Saccharomyces cerevisiae S288C: one gene and its partners. The gene in region 4 interacts genetically with the main gene of each other region. Each region holds a gene or a part of one and is shown on either strand. Other genes may lie near its edges. The genes, in order: UME6, SLX8, CHO2 and RPN4.

Region 1 (4,787 bases), 450 kb from region 4:
TGCACAAAATTTACAATGGCAGAGCGAAGCTTACTCATTAAAGTCAATGAATTTTGCAAATCCAACGTGGCTAGGTGACCAGTACCAGACATCTGCGCCGTCGTCAGCATATGCGCAAGCGCAACGGCAAATGTTTCAACAACCTATGCAGCAAGATGTGGGGAAGTACATGCAATTTCCTTTTGACGCCCAAAGCAACACGGACAGCATGAGGGGAAACAGTCGGAATAATATGTTTTAATATTGTTCGTTTTTTATCATAGTTTTTCAAATCTTCATATGAATACTAGGTAGAAATTTGGCTTATCAGTACGAATGAATTACAGTTTGACTGATTTGTACACGAGAATTGACGTATAACTTCTTTTGAAAGTCTTTGAAATTACATGGTAGTACATACATATATATATATATATATATATGTTATATTATTGTTAATTAAATATTATTATGCGTATTTTCCTTTTCTTTATTAGTATAGTATTAATGACAGTAATAATAATAATAATAGTAACAATATCTCTTTTTTTTTTTCAGTGAGCTTTTATTTTTTTTTCATTGCTCTTCTTTTGGCCTCTTTTGTTTTTTTCTTGATTTCCTCCAGTTTCATCTGTTTTTTCTTTGGATCAGATACAAAATCTGGTTTGAACGCGTCATAGTGACAGTCCAATTTCAACCTTTCACAGTTGAAACAGTGCGGTCTTTCCTCGGTACACTTCTTTTTCCTTAATCTACAAATCCAGCAACCAGTACGGGACCTTGTACCTTGAGACGTTGAGGAAGTAGCATTATTCGATTCTTGAGAATTGTTTGCTTTTGATTTCGAAGTAGTATTATTTGGTCTTTTCTTTGATGACTGTTTCGCCTTTGATTTTGCCTTAGGCTTGACATTTTTTCCTTTAGATTTAGCGAAATCCGGCGAAGTAGCGTTAGGATAATCAGCGGTATATGCCAAGCCAGAAGAAGCCTTCAAAGATGGAGACGATGGAGCTGACGAAGTTGAGGATTCGCCAAGAGAATTATAATCGCTATTGGTTTGGCTTGCTACTCTTGCGTTTCCAACTGACCTTCTCGATTTTTTCAATGGTGGAACTTCCAGTTGCTGTTGTTGTTCTGGAGCAGAAAGGCGTCTGTCTATTCGCTTACCATTCTTATTCCAAGTAACTTGCCTTGTCCTTGACTCAAAAGTGGGATCTAAAACCTTTTTAGAGTTTAGATTTAAATGGTAAGGAGACAAGTCTTGATTTTGGTCCTGGTCTTCATCAAAAACAGCTGTAGAATTGTTGCTTTCGAAAATGGGTTGTTGTTCGGAATTATGGATACGTAACAGAATTGGTCTTAAGACACCCTTTGATGGAAAAGATGACGAATGAGGCCTACTAGCCGGCACACCGAGCGCATTTGTGTTATTCATGTCATTGACATTGGAAATGGGTTTATCATGAGTTCTATATGGGGATGATCTCATGTTTGATAGCACTGCTGCTGCTGTACCCAAGTCGTCGTCTAGTTTGGTAGATGAAGATGCAGAATTCGGACCGAGCAATAATCTTGATCTCAATCCATCCAATTTAGAATTGATGTATTTCGGTGGAGGTGGTGGGATGTATTGTTCATTTGTATGGAAGGGACTATTTCTATTGTTACGATTCGGCAAATCGCCGTAAAAAAACCCAGTAGAAGGTCTTGACGAAGTGGCAAACGGGTCTTCACCGCGATTGATATTGTTCCGTTGAGGGTTGTTGTTGTTTGTGCTTGTAAACGAAGATGCGGAAGTTGGAGGTTGAGAAGGTATTTGGTTGAACCTAAAATGCTGGAAATTGTTTCTGCTGGTAATGGAAGAGCTGGTGTTCGCATGTCGAGAGTTTGTAGGCGTATCCGTGTTTGAACTAGCATTGTTGGAGGATGATTCATTCAAAGAATAAGCCTCATCTCTGTATTTCGAATTTAGCCAGAACGATATGTTGATTTTTGATTCGTTCTCGTCCAGTTTTACATTTGGGTCTGTTATCTCTCTATCCTTGTTGAAATAGAAGTTCCTGGGCGCCACGCCCACGGCACATTGGTCATCATGCACATTATGCTGGACCTGAGAGTCGTTAGATGGACTGCCGCCGCGCTTAGTTCCGCCGCGCAAATACCCGCCAATCTCATTGTTATTAGAGGATTCTCTCGAATCTGAGCTTTGTATCGAATTATTGTCGTTGTTGTTGGTACTGTTGTTTCTGCTCAGTATCGACATAGGCGAATTGGTAGTCTTACCGTTGTTCTTGTTGGCGCTGGTAATGATGAGCGGCAAATCCGATCCTGTGCGGGAACGGATGCCCGAGCCCGTGCCCGCGCCCGAGCCTGCTGCGGTGGTACCGGGGGAAGAAACCGCTGGAGCTTGTGGTGGCGGCAAATGTATTTTTTTTTTGGCGCCGGCGACGATAGTAGTAGTGGCAGTGTTACTATTAGTGGAGGTGGAGGAGTAAGGGAAAACATCCTCGTTGGTTGCAGTATACTGCGGCTGAATAGCACCGGAAATTTGTGGGTCTGTAGCCTGTGCGACATGGCCATTGCACAATGACTTAGGATCCGAAGGTGTATTGGAAGGCGCGAGTGGGCTGGCGGCAGCATGCACAGCGTTATCGCTGTCACGGCGATCTTGAAGTGTAGTATTGGTCGTAGTAGTAGTATCGTTTTCCTTAGGATCGTCTTTGATATCTCCGCCACTTTGGACTTTCAAACTCGGCGAACCAGACGGAGTATGCACGGGAGTGTTGTTGGGCGCACATGTCGATTTCATAATAGAAAGCAAAGGGTTTTCATCGTAGGTTGTCTTGAGAGATTCGATGCTAGCACTGGAAATTGTAGGATGGCGGGAGTTAGCTCCATCACTAACTTCATCTTCTGCATGTTTTTTGCCGTCTTGGCTGCTATTCATCAGCGTGGCACGAGATGTTTTATTGTGCAAATAGTGATGATTGTTGGCGGTTGTTTCCATCGAAAGCAGAGAGGCAGCCGCATTAGATTCGTCCATGTGTTTGCTTTGAGAGCGCGCCTTGTCTAGCATCGTGAGTTAAGGTCCATGCAAATGGTTTGAGTGCGGTAGTGTCCTAGTTCCTGTGCGCTGTGCGAAGGTGGGCGCTTCTTACGATCACTGGTCTCTTGTCCTTGTCCTCTATGTTCTTTTCATTTTTCTTTTTGACGGCGGCAGTTTCCGCCTGGCATTGGTGAAAAGGCGCCTTGAAGCACGGCGGACGTGTCACCCGGACCGAAACAGAAGAGAAGTAGCGCAGTCTTGGCAATTATAGGATGCCCGAAATCCAACGTGCATTCTATTCTCGTGATTATTCTCGTGATTTCGTGTGCAACCAATGGACTTTAAAAACTGCGCTCTACTACTTGTAGCAATGCATGTTTTGGGCAAGTGGGGTTGAGTGGAGTGTCACCTCAGACGACGTGTCGCTTTTGTATATCCGTTTTTACGGACATAAGAACGTGCCGCCCATTCTGGGAAAACAAAACACAGGTTAAAAAAAAAAAGAAAGGAATGGATGGGGAATGGGACAGAGAGGAAAGATAGAGGTGGAAATAACAAAAGCGTGACAACAAAGAAGCAAATACGGAGGGACAAGCAAAGAAAAAACAAGGACAGAAACAAAAAATAGGAACAAGAAGTAGCACATTCATAAGCAAGAGAGTACGAAACCTGTTTACACCCCCCGAGACAGTTGCCCTATATCGCTTTTCCCTATCAATAGTTTCTAACTCATGTCAGTCTTGCGATCACAACCTCCTTCAGTTGTACCGCTACATCTGACAACATCCACCAGTCGCAAAACAGAACAGGAACCATCGCTATTGCACTCTGCAATAATTGAGCGACATCAAGACCGTTCGGTGCCGAATTCGAATTCGAATCCGGATTCGAACCATCGAATAAAAAAGGATCGCAATAATCACACTAGCTACCATTCTTCATCGAATTCGGAGTCAAACATGGAAAGTCCTCGCTTGTCAGATGGTGAGTCTTCCACTCCGACCTCTATTGAAGAGTTAAACCCAACAATAAATAATTCGAGGCTGGTGAAGAGAAACTACTCAATATCAATTGATCCTTTGCATGACAACAGCAATAATAATACGGATGATGATCATCCAAACACCATAACTTCTCCCCGACCAAATAGCACTAGTAACAAGGAAATGCAGAAATATAGTTTTCCCGAAGGTAAGGAGTCGAAGAAAATAACAACACCCTCGTTAAACTCGAATAATTGTTTGGATTTGGACAATTCCAGTCTTGTTCACACAGATTCGTATATACAAGACTTAAATGACGATCATATTTTACTAAACAAGCGCGTTTCGAGGCGATCTTCCAGAATATCGGCAGTAACAGCAACTTCCACGACAATTAAGCAAAGAAGAAATACTCAGGATTCAAACCTGCCCAATATTCCCTTTCACGCTTCCAAGCATTCTCAAATTCTACCTATGGATGATTCAGATGTAATAAAATTGGCCAATGGAGATACCAGCATGAAACCAAATTCTGCTACTAAAATTAGTCACTCAATGACTTCTTTGCCTCTTCACCCACTTCCACAACCTTCTCAAAAGTCAAAGCAATATCATATGATATCCAAATCAACCACTTCTTTGCCGCCAGAGAATGACCACTACTATCAACACAGTCGTGGCACCAACCATAATCACGCTGCTAATGCTGCTGCTGTTAATAATAATACTACTACTACTACCGCTGCTACGGGTCTGAAAAGATCAGAGTCTGCAACGGC
Region 2 (3,006 bases), on a different chromosome or scaffold from region 4:
CAACCGCTTCACTGAAATATTCTCCAACAATGTATATATGCACTCTCATGTCATTGACTTGACTTGGATTGTTTATATTAATATTTTAAAAGGTTACATAATGATTTAAAAGAATTTTTCTTGGAAATTTTATTTAAACAACAACACCAGAGTTGGAAGCAACTCTTGGCCATAAGTCGGCACATTCCTTACCGACTGGACCAGTAATGGCAGAACCCTTCATTTCACCCTTAGGATTAGCGATGACACCAGCATTGTCCTCGAAGTACAAAAAGACACCGTCTCTTCTTCTCCAAGACTTAGCTTGACGGACAACAATAGCTGGCATAACCTTCTTTCTCAATTCTGGCTTACCCTTTTTAACAGTGGCCATAACCATGTCACCTAAAGAGGCGGCTGGTAATCTGTTCAATCTAGAACCAGAACCTTTGACGGCAATGATGTACAAGTTTCTGGCACCACTGTTGTCAGCACAGTTCATGATAGCACCAACTGGTAAACCTAACTATTTAAAAAAAATGTAAGTGACACATAAAAATGAGCACACAATTAATCTGTTAGTAAATCAATCCTATCTTGGCAAGAATGGAACCATCAACACAAATATATTTCTTGGACATAAATGATCTTACAACAATTGGACATTTTTGGAGTTTGTATATTCCGCATAGAACTTCCAATAGTCTTAACAAAAGTAACCTTCTCAGTAATCAGTTGGAAAGGCATCCATTTAACGCTTTAAGGCCCAGAAGTAGATTTCGCTATCTGGATGTAGGCATGGAGAAGCCATTAAGGATAAATTTGGCATCTTCCATTTTGGCTATCCACTATATTCATTGATAGACTCCCACATTTCTTGAACATTGCTTGTCTCAATTGTAACATTCAGTCTCGGGAATATACTTTTTTATTTGTTGATTGACGACATCTTGTGTGATTTAAATGGGTATTTCCACTTGTTTCGGTTTTAACATACAGAAATTCTGAATTTTGTACCTTGAGCACCGTTACCTGACATTTTTGCTGTATTATTATCGTGATTTCTCGATTATTTCGAAATAGCAATATTACTCGCTTAATCAATATTCAAAATCTATATACTTCTTGATTATAACTCTCCATCCAACTGAAAAGAAACCGTGGGCTTCCTTCCAGTAAGTCTCAGAGGCGCAAGCCGGGACAGCACCGTATTAGTTTCAGTTTCCCGCCCAAGTGAAAGGTAGTTAGCTACTGTCCCTCCCCCGTGCACAGCATGTTGGAGGGTTCCCAGCAGCTGCCGGTGGGGAAGAGAACAGTAAGCATGAGAGGAACCCTCGCTTTGCCGAGAATTGAAGGAGACGGCTCCTAATAGAAAAAAATCTTTCAAATTAAACAAAAAATGTTTGGGTTCACAAAAGTGTACGGATGTATACAACAGGGAAAGAAAGAACTGTTTTCTACATCTATTTGTATTTTAGGAAATTACAGAAGAGAAGGGATAATATGTCAGATATTAGAGCATGCGGAAGATTAGTAGGAACAACTTTCTTTCTTCGATCAACAGTACTTTTTCCCCTACTGAGTCAATATAAAGGGGCGGCCAAGTAACAAACGAGTAAATTAATTACACCTTGTATGGCAAGAAGACCTGATAACCAAAATCCAGAAGGTGAAAATCTACGAATCAAAAGGGTAAGACTAGAGTCGGTCAGGCAGAACGATGAGGAGGAAGAAAATGAAGTATCGAGAACACAAAATATCGTCACAGATAACCGCCATGACAGCCCAGAGGCCGTAGTCGAAATCATTGGAGAGCGAGCTCTTGAGAATACTTCTGAGGAAGATGGTGATGATGATTTATCTCTCTTTAGAGCACTTGAAGAAGATCCAGGTAGCGACCATAACACCAGTAACAACGATTCTGGGAATCATGACAGGGAAACAATGCATACCGAAGAGCCAGAAGCAAGTTCTGGTAACAATATCACATTAACGAATAATGTTGAAGAATTGCACACAATGGACGTTCTTTCACAAACAGCAAACACTCCGAGTGCTTCCCCGATGCTTGACGCAGCACCGCCGACAACGAAACCTGGAACAAATAGTAAGGAACAAACTGTTGATTTAACTGCAGATGCCATAGACTTAGACGCTGAAGAGCAACAAGTGTTGCAAATATCAGATGACGACTTTCAGGAGGAAACCAAAGAAGCACCCAAAGAGTATGGTGCAGCCAAGGACTATCGCTGCCCGATTTGTTTTGAACCTCCAGAGACAGCCCTCATGACGTTATGTGGGCACGTCTTTTGTTGTCCATGCTTATTTCAAATGGTTAATAGCTCAAGAACATGTAGACAGTTCGGCCATTGCGCTCTTTGTAGAAGTAAAGTGTACTTAAAGGATGTGAGGTTAATTATTCTAAGGAAAAAGCAAGTCAAGAAGAAGGTAAAAAGCTAGCTGTCAATAACCGAGTGTTCTCTTTATTAAAGTACGTTTTACAGGCATACTCAAAAGAAGATTCTATGGAGTAGCCGGGTTTTCATCAGGAGATGAGAGTTCTTTAACCCCAGCACAATCGTAAATTTTTACCTTTTTTTTTTTTGCTTCCTGCTCATTGATACTTTTTCTGATTAAACAAAGCACTCCGAGGAATTTGGACCATCTACACAAAAATGGCTATAAATGAAGGAAAAAGGACAAAAGAAAAAGAGGCACTAATCAAGGCAGAGTATGTATTTAATCCTCCCCTCAATATTAATGTGTAGTGGGTACATAAACAATTAAGGGGACCAAGCATATAACCAGAGCTAAGGTATTACAAAGAAAAGAAAAAAAAAAATTAAGGTTACCAGGTACAACATAAATAAAATTCAAGGAATTACTTTTTGTCGTGCAGCTACCATTTTACTTTGAGTTGTATTTTGTTCAAACTTGTATATGGCTGTTTCTAATATATGGCAATCGTACTCTTCCTCCAATTTACATTGGATTTATCCTCTGTATACCAATAACTGTTCACAAAAT
Region 3 (5,117 bases), on a different chromosome or scaffold from region 4:
ATTTAGAAAACTCACAACTGGAGAAGACGAAGAACGAAGAACGAAGGAAAAAAATTGATGACAGATCCCAGAAGAAGAACAGGCCGTCATTTCTTGACACCGGAGAATTTATCCTCTACATTACAAATCACAAACTTACCTCCAGAATGGAACCAAGATATAATTACTTCGGTCGTGGCCGGTTCTGGTCCAGTTATAGATATAAAAGCTAAGAATGACCCGAGAACTGGTAAACTAACCGGTGTACTGTTCGATTATTTGACTAGTAAAGATTGTAAACGCGCTTGGGAAATTTTAAATAGAATTGAAAACTTTCCCGTAAAGATAGAGCAAATAATCCCACCAAATTATAAGGACCATCTTAGAGAAACAGCAAATAAAAATTCTCAAAAGCAGGTATTACAACTTAATAGAGATTCGTACCCCTTCGAGGCGGGTTTGGAGCTACCTTTCGAAATGGTGACAGAAGTCCCCATTCCTAGGCGACCACCGCCACCACAGGCTGCAAATAACACAAACTCTGTATCAAATAACACAAACATTCAATTCCCCGACATACTAAGTAAAGCATCTAAACACTTGCCAAGTTTCCAAGATGGCTCGATTATTGCACCAGACAAAATTTCACAAAATTTAAGTAAAATTCCGCCGTTGCAACTTATTGAAATTATATCAAATTTGAAAATATTATCAAACCAAGAAAACATCCAAAAATCGCAATTAGAATCTTTCTTAGATACTAACAGTGATATCACAATATCAGTGACCCAAGCCCTACTAGAAATGGGATTTATAGACTACAGCGTGGTGACTAAAGTGTTGAAATCCCAAGTTGGCGAGGCCCCATCTTTGCTTTCGAGTAATAACACAAGTAATTCGAACACCCCCGTAAGCGTAATTAGAAATAACACTCCGTTGCATGTACCTTCTAATGAAGTCAGCAACAATCCTAACAATATGCCACTGAACGTAGCTATGCCAATGCCTATGTCGACACCACCATTTATCCCTTTACCTCTGCAACAACAACCGTTCGGTTTTGCGCCACCGGGCCCTTTCATGCCTCCAGCTCAAGGCCCCTCCATGGGACAGCCTGTGTTGGCAAATCAACTCGGCCAGGTCCAGCAACAAAATATAAGTTCTACAGAAGGACCCTCTAACGCGAATAAAGCGAATGACAGCGGCACCATTAATATGGCGAAACTGCAATTACTACCTGAAAACCAACAAGATATGATCAAACAAGTTCTTACTTTGACACCTGCCCAGATCCAAAGTTTACCAAGTGACCAGCAACTTATGGTGGAAAACTTTAGAAAAGAATATATAATCTAAGTAATCAGAGCCATAGCGTATCAGAAAACCACACCTAATTAGATGGTTCTTGCATCTGTACCTCTTATCACTAAAAGCGGCACTAAACTTCCAACATTAAATGTTTGCCTTGTTAAATATATATTTTTGCCTTGGTTTAAATTGGTCAAGACAGTCAATTGCCACACTTTTCTCATGCCGCATTCATTATTCGCGAAGTTTTCCACACAAAACTGTGAAAATGAACGGCGATGCCAGAAACGGCAAAACCTCAAATGTTAGATAACGTGGATCTCCGACACATGTGAATTTATAAGTAGGCATATGAAAATACAGATTCTTTCCACTGTGTTCCCTTTTATTCCCTTCTCATGTGAAGAGTTCACACCAAATCTTCAAAATATAACTAATATAGTAGAGTTTGATTCAAAGGACCTTTTTTTTTGCCTCTTTGATTAGTTTATCTTCTTTTCTTCATTTTATCCCCTAATTTTATACGTTAGTTCAACCTAACAATCCAGGATTTCATTAACAAGAAAGGTAAAAGTAACCTATCAAGGCTATTTTGAAAAAAAAAATTCCGCCCTGAATATTTCGAGTGATTTTCTTAGTGACAAAGCTTTTTCTTCATCTGTAGATGTCCAGTTGTAAAACCACTTTGTCTGAAATGGTTGGTTCTGTGACAAAAGATAGGGGCACTATCAACGTCGAAGCCAGAACACGTTCGAGTAATGTAACTTTCAAACCACCTGTAACCCACGATATGGTGCGTTCGCTTTTCGATCCAACTTTGAAGAAATCTCTGCTGGAAAAATGCATCGCGCTAGCTATTATATCGAATTTTTTCATTTGTTATTGGGTCTTCCAAAGGTTTGGCTTACAGTTTACCAAATACTTTTTTCTGGTACAGTATTTATTTTGGAGAATTGCTTATAATTTAGGTATTGGACTGGTTCTGCATTACCAGTCACATTATGAAACACTAACGAATTGTGCTAAAACTCATGCGATTTTCAGCAAAATACCACAGAATAAAGATGCTAATTCGAATTTCTCAACAAATTCCAATTCCTTTTCAGAAAAATTTTGGAATTTTATTAGGAAGTTCTGTCAATATGAGATTAGGTCTAAAATGCCAAAGGAGTATGATTTATTTGCCTATCCAGAAGAGATCAACGTCTGGTTGATATTTCGCCAGTTTGTCGATTTAATCTTGATGCAAGATTTTGTGACTTACATTATTTACGTTTACCTTTCTATTCCATATAGCTGGGTTCAAATCTTCAACTGGAGATCTTTGCTAGGTGTTATTTTGATTTTATTTAACATCTGGGTCAAGTTAGATGCGCATCGCGTGGTTAAAGATTATGCTTGGTACTGGGGTGATTTCTTCTTTTTGGAAGAATCTGAATTGATTTTTGATGGTGTCTTCAACATCTCTCCACATCCAATGTATTCTATTGGTTATTTGGGTTATTATGGCCTATCATTGATTTGTAATGACTACAAGGTTCTTCTGGTGTCCGTATTTGGACATTATTCTCAATTTTTGTTTCTGAAATACGTCGAAAATCCTCATATTGAAAGAACGTATGGTGATGGCACTGATTCCGATTCTCAAATGAATAGCAGAATTGATGACTTGATATCAAAAGAGAATTACGATTATTCAAGACCTCTAATTAACATGGGTCTTTCTTTTAACAACTTCAATAAGCTAAGATTTACTGACTATTTCACAATTGGTACCGTAGCGGCACTTATGTTAGGAACAATCATGAATGCTAGGTTTATCAATTTAAATTACCTCTTTATTACCGTTTTTGTAACAAAACTGGTTTCATGGTTATTTATCTCGACAATATTGTACAAGCAATCTCAGTCTAAATGGTTCACGAGATTGTTTTTGGAGAATGGTTACACACAAGTTTATTCCTATGAGCAATGGCAATTTATTTACAATTATTATTTGGTATTAACCTACACACTTATGATAATTCATACAGGGCTTCAAATTTGGAGTAATTTTTCCAACATAAACAACAGTCAATTAATTTTTGGTTTAATTCTTGTGGCTTTACAAACATGGTGTGATAAGGAAACGAGACTAGCAATCTCTGATTTTGGTTGGTTTTATGGTGATTTTTTCTTGAGCAACTATATCTCAACTAGAAAGCTGACTTCCCAAGGTATCTACAGATATTTGAATCACCCAGAAGCGGTATTAGGCGTTGTTGGAGTTTGGGGTACTGTATTGATGACGAATTTTGCCGTTACAAATATTATCTTGGCTGTTTTATGGACATTGACAAATTTTATTCTTGTCAAGTTTATTGAAACACCTCATGTTAATAAGATATATGGTAAAACTAAACGAGTTAGTGGTGTTGGAAAAACTTTACTAGGCTTGAAACCTCTAAGACAAGTTTCAGATATTGTCAATAGAATTGAAAATATTATAATCAAATCATTAGTTGATGAAAGCAAGAACTCCAATGGTGGGGCAGAACTTTTGCCCAAAAATTATCAAGATAACAAAGAATGGAATATTTTAATTCAGGAAGCAATGGATAGCGTTGCAACAAGATTGAGTCCATACTGTGAATTGAAAATTGAAAACGAGCAGGTAGAAACCAATTTTGTCTTGCCTACTCCAGTAACTTTGAATTGGAAAATGCCCATTGAACTTTATAACGGAGATGATTGGATTGGTTTGTATAAAGTCATTGATACAAGGGCAGATCGTGAAAAAACAAGAGTTGGATCAGGTGGTCATTGGAGTGCGACTTCTAAAGATTCATATATGAACCATGGATTAAGACATAAAGAATCTGTAACAGAAATAAAGGCGACTGAAAAGTACGTTCAAGGTAAAGTGACATTCGACACGTCTTTGCTTTATTTTGAAAATGGTATCTACGAATTTAGGTATCATTCTGGTAACTCCCATAAGGTGTTATTGATTTCTACACCATTTGAAATTTCATTGCCGGTACTAAATACCACGACACCTGAACTGTTTGAGAAGGATTTGACTGAGTTTTTGACGAAAGTCAACGTTTTGAAGGATGGTAAATTTCGTCCATTAGGAAATAAGTTCTTCGGGATGGACAGCTTGAAACAATTGATTAAGAACTCAATTGGCGTCGAACTTTCGTCTGAGTATATGAGGAGAGTCAATGGTGACGCTCACGTTATTTCGCATCGCGCTTGGGATATAAAACAAACGCTTGATAGTCTTGCTTGAGTTTTTTTTTTTTGAGTATATATATTTAAAAAGTACTAGGATTCAAGTTAACATTTTGAATAGAAGTAGTTATGTTGTTGTAATATAATGGAGCTACCATATATGCAGAATGACATTATAAATTATGATGTTGATGTACAATGCCTTTGTGCGCTTCTTTTACCATGAATTTTTTCTTAACCTCTTTCACTTTTCTTTCCGACTAGGATAATCTCGTGTCTAAGTTTCCTGGTTCATTAAACAGCTTATCATTAAATCTCTATAACGGTTATATTGCTCCTTGCAACGATCAAGGCATTCCAAAAGATCTTCATCGTCACCATCATCCTTCCAAAAACCTACAATTTCCTCTCCATTTTTGATGAATGATACGACAGTGCCATTGGCCTCACCGGCACCTGCCATATCCACTAATTCGATGCCGGCATCAGCTAAGGCTAGCGTTATACTAGTGATACAATGTGGTATGAGAGATGATATTTGAGAAGACATCATTTTGCTTTGCGAATCGTCGTCCTGAGGATTATTTGTAAGATCCTTATCATACGTTAAATAA
Region 4 (3,710 bases):
CAATCATGACATTGTATTACCGGATTCCGAATCTCTTCGTGAAGTGGTTTATAGATTGAATCCTTTTCTACAAAATGTCATATTAAAATTAGCCAATCAATATGATGAATCTTCATGCCTGATTGTGGGCCATGGAAGTTCAGTGAGATCGCTACTGAAAATTCTGGAGGGTATATCAGATGATGACATCAAGAATGTTGATATTCCAAATGGTATCCCCTTAGTCGTTGAATTAGATAAGAATAATGGTCTTAAGTTTATCAGAAAATTCTACCTAGATCCTGAATCTGCTAAGATCAATGCTGAGAAAGTCCGTAATGAGGGTTTCATAAAAAATCCTTAAGGGGGGTAAGTATATAATATAATTGTGTATTTTCCGAAGTATAATGAAAACCAATAGAAAACTTATTATAAGTCCAATGAGGTACTTTAAAAATGTGATATTTATAAGAACATTCCTGAATGCAGATATATGATATATATTGTAAATATATATAGATGTGTATATGTATTTCCATTTTGTGTGAGGTTTTCTTCTTTTATCTCCTATATAATTTGTAACCTTAATTAACCCATGACATAACCAATATTAGCCTTTGCAAATTTTGTAACTTCTTGACGTTGTTCTAACGACAAATCTTCATGCTTCGATTTTATATGCCTTGTTAAAGCATCCAGTCTCGAAAACGTCTTCTGATAGCCCTCAGATCCAAGAATTTTTATACACTCCGAGCAACGGAAGACAATCTTCCTTTTAGCGTGAATGGTATTTTGGTGTCTCGTTAAATCATAGGACCTTGAAAATTGGGCACCACACGGTTCATTTGTAATGAGATTCATTATCTGACACGTAAATATTTCGTTATTACCGTCAGAAGATGACGTATGGGCCGATGGTGATGCAGTCGAAGGTTTCGAATTCGAATTTGTAGATGAATGTGAAGATAAGTGCTTCTTAGTATAATTAATTAGCTTCCGCCTACTAGCATTTGAGCTTACTACAGCTGATGTAGGCTTCTTTATTCTTTCTAATGTGCCGTTTTCATTACTGTTACTAACGCAACTACGGTTACTGGATGATTTTGCTGGTTTCCTTTTACCGGTAGTAGCAGTAGACGGTACGTTTGCCGAGGTTGAGGGAGATGGAAATCTTTCAAAATCAATAGTGTTTTTATTGAGGACAAAACTTTGCTTTCTTCTGTTCTTCAAGAGAGAGATATCGTAGATATCGTCTTCATCAAGATCATTATCCTCATCCTCATCCTCTATCTTCTCATGTCCCCGTTCATCTAACAGATCTTCAGATACAACACTGGAAATGCTGTCCATGTTAGAGTCAACGTAACTGTACTCATTAAATAAATGACTAGAACTCTTGGCACGACCCGTTTTTTGATCTGAGCCAAACATTGAGATTGGTGTAACATCCAATGACAGTAAAGGCTCCTCTTGGTGTTGCTCTTGTTGCAAACAATTTTCTTCTATTTCATCCTCTTCATCATCACTGATATCGTCGTCATCAGAGTCAAATTCATTGTTAAAAATAGCTCTCGCATCCTCATTGTTTATTGCGGCGCTATTATCTTGAAGTGACCACTGCATTTTCGGATTATAATTATCCTCATAGAAAAGCACTTCTTCATCATTACCATATAGATTGTCACCGTTATCGAAAAAATCGTTGGAAATTTTAACATCATAATTGAACGTATTCCGTGTCGGTACATACGGGTCTGATACTTTCATTATATTCTTTAGATTGACGGTCTTCTGCAATGGGGTTTCGCTAGCACCCTTAATCTCGTTTGGTATGAGATGGACATTATTAATCTGTCTATCGTTGGCCGTTGCTTCACTAGTCGTAAAAGAGGTGGTGGTAGTTAAAGTAGGATCCGCGTATTTGTTGAATATCGGGAAATGGTAGGTTTGTTGTGGGGGTATCGAAGCTGCACTCGATTCATTCTGGTGTTGTAATGAATGATTCCACGTAAAAGTGTTGTTTTCCTTGTTCTTATTCACCAACTTATATGGAGTAATACTAGCATTTGGATGATAGTTTTGATAATGACTCGTAAACTGACTGTGACCTGGATTAGTATGGTACAACTCGTCTTCTAAAATATCCGTTAAGGTTCTTTTTAGGCTAAGTTCCGTAGAAGCCATGATTGCTTGAAAATTCTAGAAAACTTTTGAAAAGATACAAATTAGCTATTAGTACTATCTACTATTAGTTCAACTAAAAAGCGGAGTTCTTCCTTGAGGAGAAAAGGATGAACAAAATGGAACTGATCTACTCCTTAAATATTCCACGCCAAGAAGAAAAAAGAGTTTCGGGTTTATCTTTAATTTATATTAGAGATAAAACGTATCCTCCTCCTTGAACGATAAAAAATTATCCGTGTGGGTTAGGCTGCTCATCCCGGGCTTTCCCCAAATTGGGCTTCGAACTATTCTTTCCTTATATAGAATTGCTCTCCTCAACAAGTTTCGCCGAAACGGAACTTTCTAGAACCATCACTGTAAACGGCTATTAGTAATAGCGATCACGTGATTATCCGTGGAAAGGTTCGTACGGGCTGAGGCACCTTTCTTTGAGTTCCACGGAACTTGTTATTACAGGAACAGAAAGGTAGTAAAAAAAGAAGTAACGTCCTCTCAGTGCATATAGTTTGATCTCTATAACAATCCGTAGTTGGTTTTCTCAACAATTAATATTGAATACGTTAGTGATGATTGGTTTTCAACCTCTGCCGCTAATTTAGGCACAGTTCTATCGCAGCCGTAATGGAGGCATTATATAGCACTTTAGCGTCGTAACGAAGGGTTATGGTAACCGCCTAACGATTTTATTTACTCGCTTGTTGCTTGCTTTGTAATTGGTTATATGGATTTCAAAATAATATGGTCATCTGACCATGGTGACATAACCAAAGTGTTCGAAAAGATAACTAAATTGATACATCTAGGAAAACTGAAGGAAATCCCTATTGTTAAGTAAACATACTATATATGCCAAAAGAAACAAATGTGCGGTAGAATAAAATACAATTCAGTACAATAAAATACATTCAAAATACATACAAGTACCAGGAAAAAAGCTCGCATAAAAAAGGCGTGTTAAAAAATGTCACCACAATCTTTCAAATCATGATCTCTTCTTTTAACCCAATATTTGCCCGTATATCTCCAATATTTAGCTTTTGTGATGGGATGAGTATCCCTGACGAACCATTGTGGGTGATATTCAAGGTTATTTTCCTCCCTTTTTCTGCGTGCTGCTCTTTGCTTTTCTTCAACTCTGAATTTCTCATCACCAGCTTCGTCATAACGCCCATCTTCCATTGCTCTTTGATCTGGTCTCAAACGTGTATCTGTGGGGGGTAACCATGGCAATAGATGTGGTTGTGGAGCATTCAGCGTGATAGCAAAAGGTGTTAAATTGAATGGCTCCTCAGGACGGTCGTTTGCCTTCCATATTAAAAACTTCGTTCCGTCATCCGTAGGCCCATTCCCTGCTGATGCAGCGGTTCTAGTTTTCTCCAACGAGAGATCGCCATCTTTTACTACTTTCTTGGCAAAAATAGCTTCATTCCAGTGTCCTCCTAGGATCCACACCTTCTGTTTTTTCTTGTTGTAGACTTCGCCTGTGATTTCATATGCTCCTGATGACCTCCATCCCCTTGCTTTGAAATACAACTTGCAATGATCAC

The links.
Region 1: mutations in RPN4 (region 4) and UME6 together harm fitness more than expected from each alone (negative genetic interaction), as found in Saccharomyces cerevisiae (6 studies listed by BioGRID, with this or other methods).
Region 2: mutations in RPN4 (region 4) and SLX8 together harm fitness more than expected from each alone (negative genetic interaction), as found in Saccharomyces cerevisiae (5 studies listed by BioGRID, with this or other methods).
Region 3: mutations in RPN4 (region 4) and CHO2 impair growth when combined (synthetic growth defect), as found in Saccharomyces cerevisiae (5 studies listed by BioGRID, with this or other methods).

The regions. Positions count from the first base shown.
Region 1 is NC_001136.10:864,468-869,254, forward strand, and holds UME6 (DNA-binding transcriptional regulator UME6), read right to left. Parts: upstream 3,056-4,787; coding exon 545-3,055; downstream 1-544. Other genes in the region: EBS1 (Ebs1p), read left to right, coding at 1-241; MSS4 (1-phosphatidylinositol-4-phosphate 5-kinase), read left to right, coding at 3,757-4,787. UniProt on the Saccharomyces cerevisiae protein: Component of the RPD3C(L) histone deacetylase complex (HDAC) responsible for the deacetylation of lysine residues on the N-terminal part of the core histones (H2A, H2B, H3 and H4).
Region 2 is NC_001137.3:394,781-397,786, reverse strand, and holds SLX8 (SUMO-targeted ubiquitin ligase complex subunit SLX8), read left to right. Parts: upstream 1-1,614; coding exon 1,615-2,439; downstream 2,440-3,006. Other genes in the region: 60S ribosomal protein uL14 RPL23B, read right to left, coding at 134-505, 977-1,018; SPR6 (Spr6p), read left to right, coding at 2,920-3,006. UniProt on the Saccharomyces cerevisiae protein: Component of the SUMO-targeted ubiquitin ligase (STUbL) complex SLX5/SLX8 that mediates ubiquitination and subsequent desumoylation of sumoylated proteins and proteins containing SUMO-like domains for their degradation.
Region 3 is NC_001139.9:800,489-805,605, forward strand, and holds CHO2 (phosphatidylethanolamine N-methyltransferase), read left to right. Parts: upstream 1-1,951; coding exon 1,952-4,561; downstream 4,562-5,117. Other genes in the region: cleavage polyadenylation factor subunit PTI1, read left to right, coding at 58-1,335; exosome non-catalytic core subunit MTR3, read right to left, coding at 4,781-5,117. UniProt on the Saccharomyces cerevisiae protein: Catalyzes the first step of the methylation pathway of phosphatidylcholine biosynthesis, the SAM-dependent methylation of phosphatidylethanolamine (PE) to phosphatidylmonomethylethanolamine (PMME). Preferentially converts di-C16:1 substrates.
Region 4 is NC_001136.10:414,546-418,255, forward strand, and holds RPN4 (stress-regulated transcription factor RPN4), read right to left. Parts: upstream 2,164-3,710; coding exon 568-2,163; downstream 1-567. Other genes in the region: phosphoglycerate mutase family protein GPM2, read left to right, coding at 1-343; oxysterol-binding protein related protein OSH2, read right to left, coding at 3,118-3,710. UniProt on the Saccharomyces cerevisiae protein: Acts as a transcriptional activator of a number of genes encoding proteasomal subunits. Binds to a PACE (proteasome-associated control element) DNA sequence 5'-GGTGGCAAA-3'.